2 linked regions of the Sus scrofa genome follow. The protein of the gene in region 1 purifies or fractionates together with the protein of each later gene. This does not show direct contact. Links are inferred from orthologs where the notes say so. Each region holds a gene or a part of one and is shown on either strand. Other genes may lie near its edges. The genes, in order: PPM1G and KPNB1.

Evidence for each region.
Region 2: the proteins of PPM1G (region 1) and KPNB1 purify together in Homo sapiens (affinity purification with mass spectrometry; 3 studies listed by BioGRID and IntAct, with this or other methods). This does not show direct contact. The link is inferred for Sus scrofa from reciprocal best matches to the Homo sapiens genes PPM1G and KPNB1.

What each region holds. Positions count from the first base shown.
Region 1 is NC_010445.4:111,746,737-111,751,026, reverse strand, and holds the start of PPM1G (protein phosphatase 1G), read right to left. Parts: upstream 3,016-4,290; 5' UTR 2,735-3,015; coding exon 2,615-2,734; intron 1-2,614.
Region 2 is NC_010454.4:23,936,106-23,939,918, forward strand, and holds part of KPNB1 (importin subunit beta-1), read left to right. Parts: intron 1-342; coding exon 343-487; intron 488-1,629; coding exon 1,630-1,712; intron 1,713-2,189; coding exon 2,190-2,297; intron 2,298-2,725; coding exon 2,726-2,869; intron 2,870-2,982; coding exon 2,983-3,088; intron 3,089-3,758; coding exon 3,759-3,813.

The sequences.
Region 1 (4,290 bases):
ATAACCAAAAACTAAAAGTACCCTAGTCTCTTTAAGACTACATCAACTAAAAAAAGTGTTTTCAAATTGGACTTCTCATTAGCCACCAAAAACTCAGAGCCTTTCCAAATATATTTCTCAGGCACCCTTCCACAACCTACCTGTTAACTCCCAAAATACATACCTCAACCAGCTTGAGGATCACTCCAAACCATGGAGAAGGAAGAAGGGAAGGGAACATCAACTGTGGTATTTTGATTACCCCTCCTCAAAACACCCTGGTTCCACAGCAAGAGGGGCTAGAGAGAGGCAGAAAGTATAAAATGCCAGCTATTGATAGTTGCCATCCTTGCCTCAAGAGAAAGGATAAAATAGTACTCTCTTAGCCTGAATCTATGCATCAGTCAGGCTTTTAGCAACCTTTATAATGTGCATTGGTGTGATAAACGTAGCTCAACTAAATCATTAGGACCAAGCAAATTAAGGTCAATAGAATTAATAAATAAGTGGAATTTTAAGTCCTAAAGGTTAAGAGGAACAGGAGTACATTTTCCAAAAAGATTAAGATTCACTCAAGAGGCTAGAAGTCCAAGTTATTTTCTTGCCATAGCAAAGAAACTGTTATACTTAAGGGAGAGAGGAAATAAAGCCAGAAGCGAAAGTATCATTGCAGCAGAACAGGATCCCATACAGGACTTGGAGTGTATTTTATTAGATATATTTAACTATTTAAACAAAAGTAAAATCAAATACTGCATAATAAGATTTTGAAACCCTAAGTGGTTATCTCCCAGGAGGAGGATTAGAATCTAAGGAATAGTCTAGTAAGATCTCTACAAACTAAACTGCCTCTGATGAAAAGTCATGTTCTAATTACTAGAGGAGGAACCAAAAATAAAGGGAAATGCCCTGCAGAGAAGAAGCAAACAGTACAGAATCACTGGGCAAACAATTTGGAAAACTGAATATCCAAGCAACTCAATTTATAAAGAAAACTAGAAAGAGTACCAAAGAAATGGAAAAGCCACAGCAGAGAGGAGAGTCGAAAATACTGAAGAAGAAACCTGAAAGAAAAGCTTTATTATGAGATGAGACAGTCACCTCAAATCTTACCAAATTAACAGAAAATGTCATAGAAACAGAACTCCAAATTACCAGCTAATCCCAACCCCAGCCTTAAATTAAGGGTTTCCTTTGGAAGCTTCACCCAGATATTCCTACAAGTCAGACAATTACATTTACCAAGTACTCAGTAAGCTCAATACTGTGCACCACAGTCAAAAGTGAAGGCTTTACCTCAGCCTGACACAGAGAACAGTGCAGCAAGAGTCTTGAACCATTTCCATCCTACAGATCTTTCCTCCAAGGCACAAGTATCCTAATCTCTCCCAGCCTCAATTTCTGAGCAGTAAAGGGTGGGAGCCAATCTTAGTGAGATAACTATAGGATCCTCTCCATTCCGGAAATTTTACACCTAATGATAATGTCTCCTGTGGGTTCAAAATTTCACTTTGAGAACAAACCATTCAAGTTTACACTGTCATTCCAGAGCTAACCACAGGGAGGAGTGAGGGATTTGAAGAAATTCCCAAGGGAGACAGTATTTGCTGCTACCTGAAGCCCACCTAGTAAATGGATCAACCCTCAATCCCAGACAGAATTATGAGCATTTCCCTGGCTCCTCTGCCTAGATCTCCCGGTACTCTTCACAAAAACATGTCACACGTCTTTCCCCCTTCCCTTCCTACCATAGTTTTCTCCATTCTCCTTTGCAGTTTCCCATACAGTTGCCCAATACTATGCCTTTTTCTCCAGAATTTTTCCATAGCAAAATTTTCTATGAAAGAAAAAGAGTTCTCTGTACGTTAAGACAAAAAGTTGATGAAATTGTTGAAAATCAAGGAAACTATAAACTACAACAAGCACAGGCAAAAGACAAGTACCAAGTTTTAGAGAAACCCCGAGTGAGGAAAAAAAGAAAATCAAGCATTATAAAAAAAGAAATTATCGTGATGGACACAATTCAAGTTTTCCAAAGGCCATGAAAGGCCCTGAAACAAACAAGAGACAATTCTTGCAAGTCAAGTCAAACCTCCGAAATTAATTTGTGGTGCCCAGGGCCAGGCAACTAGGTATTAAGAATTTGAAACAGACCATTTACCCGGCTTCCTTTCACTGTCAAACTCCTCGTCCAAAGAACCCTCTCACATCACTTCTTTTTTTTTTTTTTAAGTACACTCATTCACATCTATCCCCCTCTCCCTAGCAAAATCAATGGATAGTCCCTTTTCATCTTCACTCCCACACTAAACCTCACACCGTTTGCGAGCCTGGAAGGCTGGGTTAGCACGAGAGGATGGCGCGAAGGCACGGGGACGTCGGTCAGTGGGCGGAAGGTGCCTCTCCCCACATGGCCGAGCCCTCACCGCCAAGGTGGCCACCGGCACACGGTTCCCTAGCACCGGCAGCTCTCTCGCTGCCTCGGCCCCGCTCTCGCTGTCGCCCCCCAGATTGCTGCTCCGGTCGCAGGATCTCGATTCGGACCCTTCCCCGAGGATGACCCCATCCCCCCGCTCCCTTTCTCCGTCGGGTTCCCGCCCTGCAGTCGCCAGCCTATGGGCCCCTCCCGCCTCACCTCCATGGAGACGCGCCAGCCTTGCATGGCGGAGAAGCCGTAGGGCAGCGGCAGGCGCGAGGCGCCGACCCCGTCCCCAGAGCACTTCACCGTGTTGGGCTGGGAGAGGTAGGCACCCATGGCGGCGGCTGACCGGCGACCTCAGGGGAAGGCGAGTGGGGCGCGACCCGTGCCGGAGCCGGAGCCCCGGGGGCGCGCGTGGCAGGAGCGGGCTAGACTGCGCGGCCGACGCAAGGTGCCGGTGAAAGGCGCGAGGCGGGCCAGGAGGCGGTAACGGGACGGGAGCAGAGAGGGAGCGGAAACGGAAACGGCACCGCTTCAGACCCCGCCCGGCCGGCGCGGCGCGGCACGGCGCCGCGCCGCGGGTAGTCATTTCCTTAGCAACTCGCCCCGCCCGCGGGGACAACGGCCCGCCCAACCGCCGCTCCCGCGAGACTGGCGCGGCCACGCCCACCAACGGCCGCGGCCTGCTTGGGCCGTCCCCGTGGGCTGCGCGTTGCCTCCAGCTCTGCCACCCTGTCCCCCGCCTCTTCTCCTGGCCTCGCGTTTTGCCTGAGCTCTTTTGTTTGGGACCTGGGGCTTCCGGTCCATCCTCCAGCGTGTCAGCTCCCTGTCTCCCCTCCGCGCCCGCAGACTCTGCGAACCGCGCCCGAAAAGGTTGACTTAAAGTTGGCTAGTATTTGTTCTGAGAGCATGAAGTATCCTGGCCAGGCCTTGTGAGGTCTGTGCCAGTGGGATGTGAGTCTTTTTGACAAAGAAAATGAAGACCTTGATCTATGACGTCTGTGCTGGTCGGGATGAAATCAGAGGAGAGTAAGAGATAGAAACCTACGGTAATCAAGGGAGTGTGATACTGGTACAAAAAGAGATGAAAGGATCAGTGGAGCAAAACAGAGCGCAGAAATAAACCCAGACACATCAGTTAAGACCCACAAAGGGGGTAAGAATATAAAAATGGAAGGAGTTCCCTTGGTGGTTAACGAACGCGACTAGGATCCATGAGGATGCTGGTTCGATCCCTGGCCTCACTAACCAGATTAACGATCTGGTATTCTGGCATTGCCTTGAGCTGTGGTGTAGGTGGAAGATGCAGCTTGGATCCAGGATTGCTGTGGCTGTGGTGTAGGCTGGCAGCTGCAGCTCCAATTCAACCCCTAGCCCGGGAACTTCCATATACATATGGGGTGCCCCCCCCAAAAAATTTATATAATAAAAGGATCTGGTGTTGCCATGAGGTGTAGATCGAAAACACACCTTGGATCCTGCGTGGCTGTGGTGTAGGCCGGCAGCTGAAGCTCAGTTTGGACCCCTAGCCTGGAAACTTCCATATGCCACGTGTGGGGCCCTAAAAAGACAAAAAAATTAAAAGAATATAAAGTGGGGGAAACATCAAAGCCCTCAGGAACCACTGAGTGGGAGTAATAAACTTCTTGTTCTACCAAAATAAATAAAAATAAAACGGGGGAAAGACAAGTCTCTTCAGCAAGTGGTGCTGGGAAAACTGGATAGCCGAATGTAAATCAATGAAACTAGAAAACACCATGCACAAAAATAAACTCAAGATGGCTTACAGATGTAAACATAAGACATGACACCATAAAATTCCTAGAAGAGAATGGAGGCAAAACATTCTCTGACATCAACCATACCGATGTTTTCTTAGGTCAGTCTCCCAA
Region 2 (3,813 bases), on another chromosome or scaffold:
GCACCATGGAAGATCATCTGGTGTTTGTTCTGAATTGGGAAATAGGTGAAATATTTAAATGTATGTTTTGTCGCAAATGATTTGCACTGTCAAAAGGAGTTCCCTAGTGGCTTAGTGGGTTAAGGATCTAGCATTATCACTGCTGTGGCAAGGGTTTAACCCCTGGCCTGGTCTGCATACCGTGGGCATGGCCAGAAAGAGAAAAAACATATTAGTATAAAAATACCTTCTCACCCCCACACACATAGGCCAAAAGCACCCCACAGTATTCTAGGGGCTTGATTGATTTTTTGATTGGAGGGTTTGAAATCAACAGATTCTGAACTCTCATTCATTTTACAGAATGTTCTCCGGAAAGTGCAACATCAAGACGCTTTGCAGATCTCAGATGTGGTCATGGCCTCCCTGTTAAGGATGTTCCAGAGCACAGCTGGGTCTGGGGGCGTGCAAGAGGATGCCCTAATGGCAGTTAGCACACTGGTGGAAGGTCAGTGAGCCAGATCGGGATGTCTTTTGAAAGAAAGAGGATGGCCATAAAGAATTTTGACTGCAGAATGCTTAGTCCTATCTTCTTATTTATTGGGGTATTGAGTCAGTTCAGAGTTGGGTTAAATGGAAGTGTAAGTTTGTGTATAAATTTCCTTGCCACTCTCCTTGAAGTGAATGGGGAAGAGATTGGCAACCCTTTGATGGGGGAACATCTATCTCTTGTTCTTCAGGTTCCTTTTCCCCCTGAAGTCTGCTTGCTTTGTTGAGGTTTGGCTCCTGTAAAGGATGGAGGAAGCAATGGTTTCTATTTTCTTTCCTGGCACTTGGTACCTTCTGGTGTGGGTTGTAATGCTTTGGATTCAGGTTGACACATCATGGTACCTGATATGAAATGGAATGAAACATTGAGTGAGTTCTAGGAATTAATTGATTTTCTGCTTGTTACATGTTTATGCACAATTGCTGTGGGGAAGCCATATCTGACGTAAGACTCCTTGAAAGGCCAATTGAAAACGTATTAAAGAGCACTTCAGACGCTTGGAATGGTTCTTCAGTGGTGGCCTATCAGGTGCCTTAGGAGGACCAGACCCATTTCTGGCATAAAGAGCTTTTGTCCCACTGGTCTGGCAACACGTGATCACCCCTGGCAGGGCACAGAAGTTGACTTTGGTTCCTAGAGTGGCTGATTTGGATATGAAGCCCAGACAGCTTTTCTTGACTGGCTTGTTAAGTGAGTCCTTGATAGAATTGCCTTAGAGACCCTGTTTTAAAGCTGGCTTTCAGAGAGGACATGTTGTAATCAGATGAAGAGGTGGATGAGAGGCAGTAACTCAGCCAATTCAGAATTAACCTTGACATTCCTTGAGAACCATACATACCACTTGGTAGTTTCTGTCAGTAAGGTCCTATTCCGGAGATGTGACGTTATCTCCAGGGGGCAAGAGTTAGGCCCTTCTGCAGTTAATCATTTGGCTTGCCCGAGGCAGCCTGTGACGTCATCACTCCTTGTGATAGAGTCAGTAACTAACTCACACTCTACCCAGCCTGTTGGCCGGAGTGCATACATTTTGGGAGAAGTAAGGTGGTATTTTTGCTCACTTCCATGACATCCGGTGGTGCTAATAGTTTGTTTCTTTGCAGTGTTGGGTGGTGAATTCTTGAAGTACATGGAGGCCTTTAAACCCTTCCTGGGCATTGGATTGAAAAATTATGCTGAGTACCAGGTAGGCTGTGCTTTCAAATAATACATTTATATCTCATTTGTACCTAGTAGTCATTGTAGTACGAAAGTCAGAATCCCATGTGATTCCTGGTCATGATTCCCTATGTGATAGCCCAAGGGTTGAATGACTCTTTTCCCGAGTATGTCTGAGCTAGACGTAGTTAGTGAGAACAGGATATCAGATGCACCAGAGTAGCATCCTAAGAAGGGGTTTTTGTTTTGTTTTCAGTAAACAACTCGCTTCTGCCACCACCATCCCTGGTGGATAGGAATGTCCTTTCTTAATGATATTTTAGATGGTCCTGGCTTTCTTCCGGCCATGTTGGTTGTTAAAAATGAACTAATCGCAGAGAAGAAGGGTCTTTTCTTTTTGACTCTAGGTTCAGGTGATAAGGGACCAACAGCTAGGTAAAAATCAGGCCTTAGCCCTGCAGGCAGCCTTTTCTGTTGGAGAGATCATTTTCTTGATTCTTTGCAGGTCTGTTTGGCGGCTGTGGGCTTAGTGGGAGACTTATGCCGCGCCCTGCAATCCAACATCTTACCTTTCTGTGATGAGGTGATGCAACTCCTACTAGAGAACTTGGGGGTGAGTGTCTATACGCACAACCTAGTTTACCAGTATTGGAAGAAATCATTGGTCGGAAAGGTGGTCATGTATGTGTGACAGGGAGCTATGTATATATATATATATATATGTATGTTCCAGAATGTTGGCTGTGGGCTTTTGAAGGGAACTGTTCATTTTCACAAGATGATTCCACCTCAGTTTGTAAAGTTAATTAAAGGAATGCATGGAACTTGGTGGCGGGGGTGGGGGGGGACAGCAAGTAAAGCACAAAGGAAAATAAATACCTAATCCCTCTATGTAGAGATAACCACTACTAATTTTTGTGTATGTTCTTAAGGTGTATATACCCAGCATATTAGTAGTTGCTTATTATTTAAAACACTTTTCTATCCTTTGGACAGAGCTAACTTTGACTTTTTTTAAACTGCTTTTCCCCCCCTTGTCAGAATGAAAACGTCCACAGGTCTGTGAAGCCACAGATTCTGTCAGTATTTGGTGATATTGCCCTTGCTATTGGTGGGGAATTTAAAAAATACCTAGAAGTCGTATTGAATACTCTTCAGCAGGCCTCCCAAGCGCAGGTGGACAAGGTAAGCTTAACACTATCTTTAAGTCCAGCCCTGACTAGAGGAGCAGCCCTTTTGGCAAACGTACAACTAAAGGCAATCGATGTGATAGGAATTCTGTTCTTTTTCTCTTACAGTCAGACTATGACATGGTGGATTATCTGAATGAGCTAAGGGAAGGCTGCTTGGAAGCCTATACTGGAATCGTCCAGGGCTTAAAGGGAGACCAGGAGAACGTACACCGTTGAGTATACAACCCAGTTGACTTGGTCCAGTGTGCCCTTAGCTAGATGAGCCGTGTGTGTCACTGTGTAGCTTACTTGCAAACTAGCACTTACTGCTTAAAACAAGGCAAGAAGGAGGAACAGTTCCCTAATGAAGGGAGGAGCTTTGGGGGATGGGGGGTAAACACTTTATTATTTCTGCTTCCTGCTTCCTCAGCTACCTTGTCTCACATTTCTTGAGCATTCAAGGTTGATGGTGCTGGTTGTGCCCGTACCAACCCTAAGTGGGGAGTTACTGACGCGTGTGCCACCATGCCCACCTTCTTGCCCCCCCCCAGGCACGTCTGAGTTGAAGGATTGGGAGTCAGGTTTCCTCTACCACCTGATGGTTCTGCTCCTGATTGGGAAAAAAATATTGGTACTTCACCCCTTTGATATTACAGGCTTAGAGCAAAGGTTCCATTTGTTCCTTCTATAGTACATCTGTTTGTGAGAAGAGGAATATCGGCCTCTTCTGTTACCTTGAAGAAGGACTTCTTGATCTGAGGAAGAATAATTTGGTGTAATCAGAAGCAACTAGTTCAGCCTAAAACCTGCCTGATGGAGGCAGAGTATTTAGAAATTATGAAACAGGGTGGAGTCTTGCCAAATGTGGCACAACTTCATCACACCTTCTCTTTCTTTTATAGCGGATGTGATGCTGGTACAACCTAGAGTAGAATTTATTCTGTCTTTCATTGACCA